Linked DNA regions of Rattus norvegicus. The main gene of each other region encodes a partner of the protein of the gene in region 2 in a complex. Links are inferred from orthologs where the notes say so. Each region holds a gene or a part of one and is shown on either strand. Other genes may lie near its edges.

The links.
Region 1: E2f4 (region 2) and Lin52 share a complex: the UniProt entries of both Homo sapiens proteins name them as parts of the DREAM complex. The link is inferred for Rattus norvegicus from reciprocal best matches to the Homo sapiens genes E2F4 and LIN52.

What each region holds. Positions count from the first base shown.
Region 1 is NC_086024.1:109,827,940-109,834,169, reverse strand, and holds the start of Lin52 (protein lin-52 homolog), read right to left. Parts: upstream 3,922-6,230; 5' UTR 3,915-3,921; coding exon of another isoform or gene 3,903-3,914; coding exon 3,884-3,902; intron 1-3,883. Other genes in the region: Aldh6a1 (methylmalonate-semialdehyde/malonate-semialdehyde dehydrogenase [acylating], mitochondrial precursor), read left to right, coding at 4,489-4,539.
Region 2 is NC_086037.1:50,081,971-50,088,139, reverse strand, and holds the start of E2f4 (transcription factor E2F4), read right to left. Parts: upstream 3,806-6,169; 5' UTR 3,720-3,805; coding exon 3,585-3,719; intron 3,183-3,584; coding exon 3,073-3,182; intron 2,948-3,072; coding exon 2,786-2,947; intron 2,496-2,785; coding exon 2,452-2,495; intron 1,626-2,451; coding exon 1,564-1,625; intron 1,366-1,563; coding exon 1,068-1,365; intron 451-1,067; coding exon 232-450; intron 1-231. UniProt on the Homo sapiens protein: Transcription activator that binds DNA cooperatively with DP proteins through the E2 recognition site, 5'-TTTC[CG]CGC-3' found in the promoter region of a number of genes whose products are involved in cell cycle regulation or in DNA replication.

The DNA.
Region 1 (6,230 bases), on a different chromosome or scaffold from region 2:
ACAAGCAAGCCTCATCTAGAATTTATCTACTTTTTGACTGATAAAAAGGACACTTCACTGGGTGGTGGTGGTGAATCCCTTTAATCCCAGCACTCAGGCCAGCCTGTATATATAGTGAGGTCCAGCCGGGGCTACATAGTGAAACCCTGCCTCATAAAATAAGTAAACAAATGAGAGGGAGGGAGGGAGGGAATGAGGGAAGGAGGGGGGGGGAGAGAGAGGGTGAGAGAGACAGACAGACAGACAGAGACAGAGAGAGAGACAGAGACAGAGAGACAGACACTGAGACTACACTTATTATTAACTGAGTCTCCATATGTTATACACACACATGCATGCTGAGTGCAGACACACACAGAAACATGCAAACTCTCCCTTTAAACTCATAACTTCCCTCCTGGGTATCCTGTAGTCCTTATTCTCCCACTTCACACTTGTGTACATGTGCATGTGTGTGTGGTATATGGATATAATGAATGCACAAGTAGGTGTATGACTATAAAGGACCAGAAAGAATGCTAAGTGTCTTCATTTACTCTCAGGCTTATTGTCTTGAGACAGAGTTGCTCACTAAACCAGAAACTAGGTAGCCAGCAAGCTCTCAGGATCCAGCTGTTTCTGTGCATGCCCTCCCTGCCCACAATGCTGGCAGTACAACCATGCCTGGCTTCCAACTCAGGTCCTCATATTTGCAAAGCTAGCATGCTTACCAACTATGTATCATCTCCCAGGCCCTACACTCTCTAACCTACAAAAAAAAAAAAAAAATCTTAATTCAGTCCCTACGTGCATTGAAACTACTGCTATCAAGGTCACCTGTGCTAAATCTGCCCACTTGTTTCCCTTCTGTGACCTCTCCATAGCATGTGATATTCCCCTTCTTGCTTTTATGAAACTACTACACTCGTTTCTTCTCAGTGACTCCTCTTGCAGTCTGTGCCACTCAGATCTAAGACAACTTCACCATCATGTACCAATGACAATTCACATCTCAAGGCTCAACCATTCTCCTGTCCAAGGAGCTACTTGATGTCTGTCCATTTACATGTAGGGAAAACCCCTTAATACTGCTGTTCAAACCCCACTTTCCCAACCCTCTCCATCTCAAGAAATTGCAATGTCACAAACCTCAGTTCTTTGAATTGTTTACTTTTCGTTAGTTTAGATTTGTGTAGGGTCTAGCATTCCATAAATTCTGCATCCACTGGCATTTACACAATGGCTGCCACCATTTCTACAGGCCCCACTTACTTCTCCCCAGATTACTCTGCTTGTTTAGTTTTGCCTCTGGGAGTCACTGTGTGAACTTTTTATACACATAAGCACATCTCCTGCCTTAGTCGAATTTAGTATCATCTCAGATAAAACCACCCTGGATTTGAAGAAGAGCTATATGCTCTCTTTGATTCTAGAGACCTCACACATCTAGCAAAACTGGCCTTGCACCACATCCTTCCAGACCCTACCTTTTAGAAGTCTTGTTCTCAGTAGACCTCCACAGACACCAAGATGAACCTCAATTTAAAAAAAACAAAACAAAACAAAACAAAAAAAACCGACAAAAATCCTACCAACACTTTTTTTTTTGCTAGTAAGAAAAGGATGTTTTAGGGGGAAAAAAAAAATCACACATGCTAGAGAATCTCTTTTATTATGAACACAGTTCCTTAAGGTATGTGAATGTGTTCAAAACTTAAAATGCAGTTAAACCTGAAACTTCGAAATCAAGTAAGAGGCCAGGCATAGTGGTACATTTTTTTTTCTTTTTTTTCTTTTTTTCAGAGCTGGGGACCGAACCCAGGGCCTTGCGCTTGCTAGGCAAGTGCCCTACCGAGTGGTACACTTTTAATCCCAGCATACTGGAAGCACAGGTAGGAAAGCAAGAAGATGGTGAGTCTGAAGCCAATCTGGGCCATACAGTCAGACCCTATCTCAAAAAAGGAAAGAAGGAAGAAAGGAGGGAGATCTGGTAACATTATTTTTAATATAATCTAGTCATGCTTTTTAGTACTAAAGACTGAACCTATTGCCTTGTTCATGATAAGCAAGCTCTCTACCACTGAACTACATCCCTACTTTTTATTTTTCATTTTTAGATTTATTTATGTGTATGACTGTTTGTCTGCACAGTATATATGTGGAGCACATGCATACCTGATGTCCATGGAGGTCAGAGTCACAGTTGTGAGTTGCCATGTAGATACTGGGAATAGAATCCAGGTCTTGGGGCTAGAGAGATATAGCTCAGTGGTTTAGAGCACTGGCTGCTCTTCCAGAGGTCCTGAGTTCAATTCCCAGCAACTACATGGTGGCTCACAACCATCTGTAATGGGAGCCCTCTTCTGGTGTGTCTGAGGACAGCTACGGTGTATAAAGTACTCATATACATTAGATAAATAAACCTTAAAAAAAAAAAAAAGAATCCAGGTCTTTTGCAAAAGCACCAGGTACTCTTAACCACTGAGAGCTATCTCTCCAGCCCCCTGTATCCTCACATTTTTAAAAAGATTTATTACCTATACACTGTTCTGCCTGCATGTACCCCCGCACACCAGAAGAGGGCACCAGATTTCATTACAGATGGTTGGGAGCCACCATGTGGTTACTGGAAATTGAACTCAGGACCTCTGAAAGAGCAGTCAGTGCTCTTAACCGCTGAGCCATCTCTCCAGCCACTCTTCCCTTACTTTTTAAAAGAAAACTTTTTATTTGAAGGTGGGTGGTGGTGGTTTGTGCCTTTAACTCTAGCATTTGGGAGGCAGAGATAGGAGGAGCTCTGAGTTCGAGGCCAGCTTTGTATAAAGAGCAAGTGCCAGGACTACACAGAGAAACCTTGTCTAGGGTTAAAAAATAAAATAAAACAAAACCCAACAACTGCCAACTAAACCCCAACTTTGTATTTGAGACACATTTTGCCTACAATTCATTCTGCAGCCTAGACAAGCCTGAAGCAACAATCCTCCTGCCTCAATCTACCAAGTAGCTAAAATTAGGGGTCACATACCAAGGCCAGTTTCACTTTTGGATGAACGTTAACTTATTTATGGCCAAATGCTTTACAGGCATTATTCTAGAACCTAGGATTAAACGTATGAAATAAGACAGACTTGGAATTTATAATTGGGTGTGGCCCGGGCAAAGTTAATAGACAAGGAATATACTGAGATACTGAGTAATGACAGAAGAGAATTCCAAATGCTAAAGCAGAACCGCGAGCAAAAGCATACGGGTATAACGAAAACACCTATTTACCACCTGAGACGAAATACAAGCAGAATTGTTCCTGCCCTCAGTCTAAGGAAACAACACATGAAGTAGAGGGAGTGATGGTTTAAGGGTTGAGAAGCGTGCGAAACTACATTAACAAGGCTAATTTTCATTCCCTCGGGAATCAGGGTAAGGAAACCAGGTCCCCGGTTCCCTGCTGCCAAGGCAACGGTCCTGAACTGAGGGGACAAGCATCCTTCTCTCCCGGCTTGGTACAGGGATGAACCCTAGACCTCATGTCAGTCACCACTCAAAGCTATAGAGCTTGAGAGACTCGTCTCAGCTCTACTGAGAACAGAACCAACACTCCAATGGGCCTGTTCAAAAAGAAAGTTCCCTCCCTTTCCCCTCAGCATCACCGATGGGCCGGAGCGACCTCTGTCCTTTTCCCGGATAGGGTCTCACCGGTTGGTGGCCTCCTTCACCTACCTAGTACACAGCGGGGAGACCTGGTACCAGGCACCTGCTAGCTGAAAAGCCGACACAGCCCAAAGAAGAGAAGTGGGAGAGAAGGAAGAGGGGCCCAAGAAAAAAAGCGTAAGCGTGAAGGCTGTGGAAGTTCCCAGAGGAGCAAATAATGAGACTACAGGCCAACAATTTCCAAGCCGGCTCTTACCGTCTGTGGGAGACGCCATCTTCCAGCCCATGTCACGTGACGTGGCCAACCGTCGGCGGGAAAGCGAGGATCCGCAAGCCACGCCCCTTACAGGGGTAACCTATCCTTAACTCACAGCCCGGTCTCGTTTCCCTATCTCATAGGGTAATATTTGCCTAGTCCCACCCTAGACAGCAGCCCTACCCGCGAGTGGTAGTTAAGGTGAAACTCAGGCAAAATTCTTCAAGGACTTTATTTACTTTCCTTAGCAAAGGGGCGGGACCTTGAGGGCCTACCTATAGCCAATCGGAGTTCTCGGTTAGGGGGCGTCTTCCCCGTGTGCTTAATATGCAGTACCAAGTCTAGGGGGCGTCTCCCTATCTCCGCCAACAAAAATAGGCTGAAGTCAGAGAAGAGGAAAACGCTTCCGCCTTTGACCAATCACCTATCCCCAAGGCTGGGAGTGATGGGTGGAGTCAAGAATCCTGACACATGATTGGTTATGAAAAGTGCCCCTTCCCTCCAATGGAGAGGCTAGGTTGTGTTCGGGGCGTAGCTTAGCGCTGTAGCTTCTAGGGAGGCACTGGCAGCGGAGGCGCGGGGAGCTGGGCAGAGTCTGGTGAGCCATGGCGGCGGCAGTGGCGGCAGCAGCAGCAGTGCGGTCCCGGATCCTGCAGGCGAGTGAGGGTGGCGACGAGGGACCATGACGTTAGAAATGGGTCCTTTCCGCCCGGTCTCTAAACCATGCTTCTGCTGGACAGATTTCTTGGCCCAGACCCTTCTTTGCAGACCCTTGTGTTCCACCAGACCCGTGTGTTTGAGCTGTCACTCCGTATTGCCTGGCCCGGGAATCCAGCCCCGGACGGTCACGCCTGGCCCACCCCACTTTTACTCCTGATCCTTTCCTTTTCTAGCTCTGACCCACCCACCTTCAGTCCAGCTCAGTCTTTGCTATCACCCGCGGGCTTGCTTTCTCTCATTGGTTCCTCCCACGGACTCCCTTTCACCTCTGTGCCAGCCACCTCTGGGCCCCAGAAACTCCTTTTGGTTACTGTTTATAGAATACTTTCCTTTGCCAGGAGCGTCCCTTCCCCCATCCAGCCTCTATGTGAGGTAAGAGGGGGTAGGAACATGGAACAAGGGTCAGAGAAGAAACTTTGAATCTCTAGACATGTACCCTGGCTTTTCACATCAAAGGCAGCCATTTGCTAGCGTTTACCAACTATTCTGGCCCTTAGTGTTTTTTTCCCAAGCTCTGGGCCAAGTTAAACTTTCTCAGCGAAGTTAAACTTTCGAGATAAATAAGGGCGTTATTGTTTTGCTAACGCTACTAAACATTCCCCAAACAGGTGGTAGAAGATGAGACCCTAGGAAGACACGTTCCCAGAGTCAGTTCTCAAGTGCCAACACACCCTCCACTCTTCTAGGCTACGATTTTAACCGCACAGAAAGAAGCCAGCCCAAGGGAAGTTGTAGAGCTACAGAAGCCTCAGGCCTGTGGTCCCGGCTTTGATTATAGCCTTTCCCATGTGTTTGCATCGTAGCACGGACTTAGAATCTGACACAAGATTTGCTCTATTCCCGGCAAGATTCTTAATCCAGCATTAAGCAACGATGTCTTTTATTCATCCAGCCTAGGAATGTCTCCTGTTGCACTTTTATATAAAATTTTATGTCTGTTCATCAGGTTTTTAGGAGTTCTACTGCAGAAATGTGTGCGTGCATTTGGTTCTTGGCCGAGTCACCAAAGGTTCAGGTTTGAATGTTGTTTAATGGGACCATGAAGAGAGTGAGCTGGAGGTCTTAGAAGGTTGGCATGACTTCACTCCCCTGGCGCTATTCTGGTGTCTTTTTGGAGTAACAGATACAGCATTTCCTCTCTACGTTTTCCATTGCCAACCTCTTAACATCCTTTATAAAAATTGCTCCCCTCTCGTCCTTACCCCATTACCACAAGTCACTAAAAATCCTAAGGTATTTTGTCCTTTGCACAAAGGAGTAGAATTTCTCTTCCCATATATGTTATTTTTGGAACAAATACTCTTAAAAAAAAACCCAAGTTGTAAAAACCTCTAAACTGACTTGGAAAAAGACCAGAAATAGTTCTTAGACAATTAGGAGTTATTGTAATATGACAATTTGATAAAGGGTAGTCTATGTGGTCATGTGGTACATGTATGCAGGCCTAGCTCTTGGAGAAACAGAGGCAGGAAAATCTCTTGAGACCACTTCAAAACCAGCCTGGGAAGGGAACCTGCCAGAGAGCAGGAGCAGAGATAAGGAGGGCAGGTAAAGAAGAGAGTGAAAGGCAACATTGTATACTGACATGCCTGAAGACACTTCAATGAAACCTAGTACTTAGTAAATG
Region 2 (6,169 bases):
CAGAATGGTGAGGTGAGTACGAAGAGCAGCAAATCTCAATTAGTGAGGCTTAGTGATGCTCCAAGTGGTGGCAGGAGGGGGGATGAAGTCCCAGAAACGGGCAAGAGGCACAGGCACTGACCTGGAGATTAGGCATCCTTGTCTGGCTGGCAGAGAGCAGAGGTTAGCAGGAAAGGAACTGCCAGCTCCAAGACTCTCCTTGCTGGCCCCCACCCCTCAGTAAGTACTCACCGCCTGTGGGGTCTGCCTTGATGGGCTCAAAGGAGGTAGAAGGGTTGGGTCCAGATGAACTGCTGCTGCTGCTGCTGCTGCTGCTACTGCTGCTGCTGCTGCTGCTACTATCCAGTAGTGCAGAGGACTGCAGAGGTCGAGTGTCCAGTGCTGTCAGGCCCAGTGGGAGTGAACTGAGTTCACCACTGCCCTTGTTCTCAGTTCCAGGGCTACCACTCACTGCAACCACATCCCCAAACCCAAACACAGAGTCAGGAAATAGACCCTACACCTGCCATAGGCTAGATCCTATGACCAGGATGACCACAGTGCTGGTAGCCAAATCCAAGGAGACTTAGTCACCACTAGTTACCAAGAAGCACTAGAAAACATCATTAAAGATAGAGCACATGTCCTGGAGGAGGGAGACTCATGGGGTTGCCAGGATCCATCAGACACTGTCCAATCTGGGATAAACTACCCTACTAATGCTGCCTATATAGTCAAAGCTTCCTTGTTAGAAAGGGCATATTCAGGCAAGTGAGATCCTCGTGAATTAAGACACTCATGGACAAACCTGACCTGAGTTCAAATCCCAGAAATATGAAAGGAGAGAACCAATTCTTTCAAGTTGTCATCTGATCACCTCTGACCTCTACATGCATCCTGTAGCATGTGTCCCCCTCACAAATAAATGAACAGAGTAATTTAAAGGGGCACATTCATTGTAACTCCAAGGAAAGCTAAGTGGGGACCCCAGGAACTTCTAATTCTCAGTATAGCATGCCATGACACAGTTTCTTGTAGGCTCCAAAAAATAAAAAAATAATCCATCACACCTTACCATAGTGTCTCACCTGCAATCTCAGCTGTCTGGCCTGCCACATCTGAGACTTCAGTGCTGCCAAGGACAGGAGTGGGGGTAGTTATCTGGGGGCTGCTTGGACGAGAGGTTTCTTGGGGATGAGCTAAGGCAGGCTTGGGCAGAGGTGGAGGTGTAGACACAGCAGGTGGGCTCTGGAGTAGATCGTCAGGGGGAGGTACGGGCACAGCCACAGGTGGTGAACTCCAGGCCTCCTTGTTCACTAGCAGGACCTCAATGGGACCACTCATGCTCTTTAAGTGAATCTGGTACTTCTTCTGACCATTGAGACCCTGGGAACAAACAGAATTGCAAGCAGGCGTAGCTCCTGCCTGACTGGCTCAGAGCCACACTGTCCTCTCCTCATCTGCCAATCCACCTAGATAACCCTAAACTCCAGGCCTCCCCTACCTGCCCCACCCAGAACTTATCAAGCTTCACAGCCAGTATCCACCCTCAGTTGACACTGCCTTGCAGGGATGAGCACCTACCTCTGGGATGGGCACCTCCAGGCTGGTGCCCGATGGGGCTCGGATAGCAAGGAGGGTATCTCCTAGAATAACAAGGAGAATGTGTCAGGGCCCATGAGCTCATTCAAGTATCTGTTCTTTTCCTGCCTTGTCTGGAGAAAGACAAGTGACCAGAGTCTCTAAGAGACTGAATATTAAGCCTCTACCATCCTAAAGCACTGGGTAAATTCTCTCCTCAAAACCTCATACTCAGTAACCAGAAAACCTCGATGCAAGCACACTTCTTTCTTTCTCCTTTTTGAGGCAGGGTATTTTTATGTAGCCTTGGCTGTCCTGGAACTTGCAAAGTAGACCAGGTTAACCTCAAACTCAAAGATCTGCCCTCCTTTGCCTCCCAAGTGCTGGGATTAAGTATACTTATATTCTGGAATGAGGTCACCAGCCACAGGTACCACCACCTCACTCCTCAAATGATGCTGATTCCTAGAAACAGATGTTCTGACCAAGTTTTTCCAAGACACAAGGAATATCTAATAAATGGTTCCTATATGCACAATGGAACTAAGTACAAATTATAAACGGACACCACCGACCCCTGCATACAAGTATGTAAGATTGTGCACACAAATCTACATGTACAAATTCTCTTTTCCTCTGTGCCACCATTATGCACAAGAACCAAACCCAGAGAACATTGCTGATGAGGGCAAACCTAGGGGACTCTTGTACCCTATGGGTCTCTAAAGAGTCCCAGTGACTTCCAAACTGAGACTTGCTGCCTGGCTTCGGAGTCGGAACTCTGAACCTTCAAGAGTCGGAACTTCTTTTTTGGGCAGTGGACCTAACACTGGGAGCTCCATGGCTTCACTCAGTCCCATCCCTGCCTCCCTCTAACCAGGCTCTGCTCACCAGCAAAGCACCTGCAGATGTCTTCATGAGTCACGTAGGCCAAGGTGTGGGGGTTAAGGAGAACAGCTGATGCCTTTACCACGCCAGATCACAGAAGAGACCCAATGCCTATGCCTATGCCTGCCACACAGCCCTCAGAGGAAATTCTGGAACCTGGGGTCCAAGTGGGTAAGGATCATGGGCTAAGACTGGAAGAGACCAGAGCCTCATGTCTGAATCTGACCAGGGGTTGCAGGCTCATTCTTTCAAGAGGTAAAGGGCCCAGAGCTCTACAGAGCAAAAGCAGCTGAGAGCCCCTTGCCCACTCTCCAGGGCAGGGTCTGCCAGAGGATATCAGCTGTTCTGGACGTCCTCTGCGACATTCCGGATGCTCTGCTGCACCCACACCTTGTGCTGGTCAAGTTCTTGCTCCCGCTGCTGTAGCTCCTCGATCTCTGCCTTGAGCTCAATCAGTTTGTCGGCAATCTCCCGGGTATTGCAACCTGGCCCGACGCCCCTGAACCACAGGAGTGAGAGACTGAGTGGGATCCTTAAGAACTCTGGGTCCCTGCCCTCTTCTCTCTCCGATGACCATCATCCCACACCCCTGACACTTCTGCCCTCCCAAACATCCCTACTCACTTCCACTGGATGCTGTTCTTGGATTTTTTCTCGATCAGACCAATACCTTCCAACACGTTGGTGATGTCGTAAATCCGCCGTTTCTGGCGTACAGCAAGAGTGTCGGCTGCCTGGCAGGTAGAAGAGAATGGAGAATGCTAGCCCCACTCCTAAGTGTGCACCCTGATTCATTTAGTTTGGAATGGGGGTAGTCTTGTTTCCCAACCCTGGAGTTCCTTCCAATTACTCCAGGAGTGTGTTGGGAAGTCTTGGGAAGAGTTGTGTTCTGATATTCTGATGCTCGTTTCCCTGTACTAGTCACGAAGGGCCACGAGGGCCAGCACCTGCAACCCGGACCTAGACAGAGATGAGGCTCAATGGCTTCAGTGAATGAAAATAACCTCCCGCCTCTCTCGTGTGAGAAAGCACACTGATGGCGGCCAGAGGACTCAGTGGGGCCGCCCCGCTGGTTCCCGCTACTGGTCCAGGCCTGGTCCACCATCTCCCCAGTCGCCCCTCCGCCCGGTCCGCACCAACTTGAGGTCAAGCACGCCGTCCTTGGCTTCCTGCAGAAGCGACACGAACTTGGTGGTGAGAAGTCCCAGACTCTTCTCGTGCCGGCTTGGAGTACCCGGGGGCGGCGGCGCCTGTGGCCCGGCCTCCGCCATCGCGCCTGCCCGCCCGCCAGCCTCCCCTCAGCCAGGCCAGGCCAGGCCGGCGGCGGCACCACTTCCGCTTCCGTTCCTAGTCGCCGGGCCACCGGAGCTATCATTGCTGCTTCCGCTTCCGTCTCGCGCCTTCCCAGGGTATCTGGTGCAATTCCTATCTGTAGATCTTGACGCAAAATTTTGGGGACCATTGACAAATGTACCATTTGCAAAGGAAACGAAAACAACTCCTCAGGACAGCTAAGAAACCTGAAAAATTGTATCGTAGGAAATGGAGGAGGTTAGTGAGCAGTAATGAAGAGGGACCACCCGAATATTCCTTGCTAACTTGCTCCCAAACTACTAACTGCCTGAACACTCCATCTAGCAAAGGGAAGCCATAAGCCACAAGCTTATCCTATTTACTTAAAACTGATCCTAAAGGCTTCTCTGCTGTTCTGAGATAATTCCTGTTGTTCCTGTCAGAACTGCAAGCACTAACAATAAATAGCTTGCTTCGGACTTCTACTATCTACTCTTATTTAGTTCCAGCATTATTTTTCTCTGGCCTCCATGCTACATACAGTTCACAGTGACCTGGAGTCTTGTTTCCAACCACTACTTAGTCCGTGCAAAGGTACTTGCCTGTGTGTGAATATGAGCAAAGCCTTTAAGGCAAGTTTCTGACATATGGGAAGAACTGTATGTTTGCAAGTCTCATTTATCTTTCGATTTTTAAAGGTTTTTATTTTTAATCATTATTTTGATGATGGTGATGGTGGTGGTGGTGGTGGTGGTGGTGGTGGTGGTGGTGGTGGTGGTGATGATGGTGTGTGTATGTGTATGTTTGGGCGCATGTGCACAGGTGCTCAGGTGCTCAGGGAGGGTTAGAAGAGGGTGTCAGATATTTGGGAGCTGGAACTAACAGGCATTTATTAGCTACCAGGTAGGTGCTAGAAATCAAAGTCCTGCAAGAGGAGCAAGTGCTCTTGATCTCTGAGCCATCTTGCCACTTGGCAAGTCTTACTTATTTTTAACATTATCACTTATGGTTATGTCTTTATGGTGGTCAGTTCCTCTTGGACACAAATTCACACTCGTAAGAGAGTAAAACAGGCAGAATTCAGAAGATCTAGTTATAATGGGGCCTGAAATTGGGGTAGTCTTCCTGAGGTATTCATGCTCAGCAAGGATACTTATAGAGGCCTTTGGATATCAATACTGACTCAGAACTTTAGCTTTTCTGGCAGCTTGGAAATGAGGGTCTATTCTGATGGGTAGATTTGGATGGTGCAACATTATCATCGTCTAGTGTCATCTGTGGCTCCCTATCACTTACAGGAACAATATAACCTTTTTTTTTAAGATTTATTTATTATATAGACTGTATTTTTTTTTTTTTTTGGTTCTTTTTTTCGGAGCTGGGGACCGAACCCAGGGCCTTGCGCTTCCTAGGTAAGCGCTCTACCACTGAGCTAAATCCCCAGCCCCCACTGTAGCTGTCTTTACACACACCAGAAGAGGGCATCAGATCTCATTACAGATGGTTGTGAGCCACCATGTGGTTGCTGGGATTTGAACTCAGGACCTCTGGAAGAACAGTCAGTGCTCTTAACCACTGAGCCATCTCTCCAGCCCACAATATAACCTTTACAATCCCTGACTGCCATCTCCCACTATACGTTCACCTCACTACAGGTGATCTTTCCTCTACCAAGGCATATCACTCATCAGTGGTTCTCATACTCTCAAGTTCTTTGCAGCTACTCCAACACTTGGGGGTCATCCTTCAAACCAGCTTGAGGCTAAGTCAGCTTTATGTGTGCATATGTGTTTCCTGAGCACTTAGAAGTCAAGGTATGCTGGTCAAGACTTGGTGATCACGGGGAGTCCACGGCTGCCCCCACCCAACAGGAAGTAGCGCCCAGCTCTCCCCACCTCAGTGCAGTTGCTTTTCCTGTTGGGAATAAAGTGCCAGAGACTCAACTTCCTTCCTTTCTGCTTTGAAGAGGGAGGGGCCTTGAGGGGAAGAAGGGGCTTCTGGGCTGTGAAGTGGGAAAGAGGTTTCCTTGGGGAGAGGAATTTGGCTGGTGGTGCCAAAGGAGCTAGAGTCCCTCAGGTCCCGTGAGCAGTGAGGGTGTGCCCAGTTCTGCAGGAGAGAGAAGGCTATTCTCAAGGCCAAGGCCACTTGCAGAGGAGGGAGAACTGGACACCGGTCAGATCTGGTAAGTTCTGTACCAAACTGTTTGGGGCGTTACAGAGCAGGAAGGGGGACTTACAGTTATGCTGATTCGCAGCCTTTCACTCGGCATCAAAAGAGGTAGAACCCATAACCCCAGAGGACCCCATATCCCAGGTATCCCTTCTAGCTTATGTCCCTCTCTCTTATTTCCTGAAGGGGCTCTGCAAGAACTTTGCTCCTCTTTCTTGGTAGGGTCAAAGGAACATCCACTCTGCCTGAGCTACTGCAG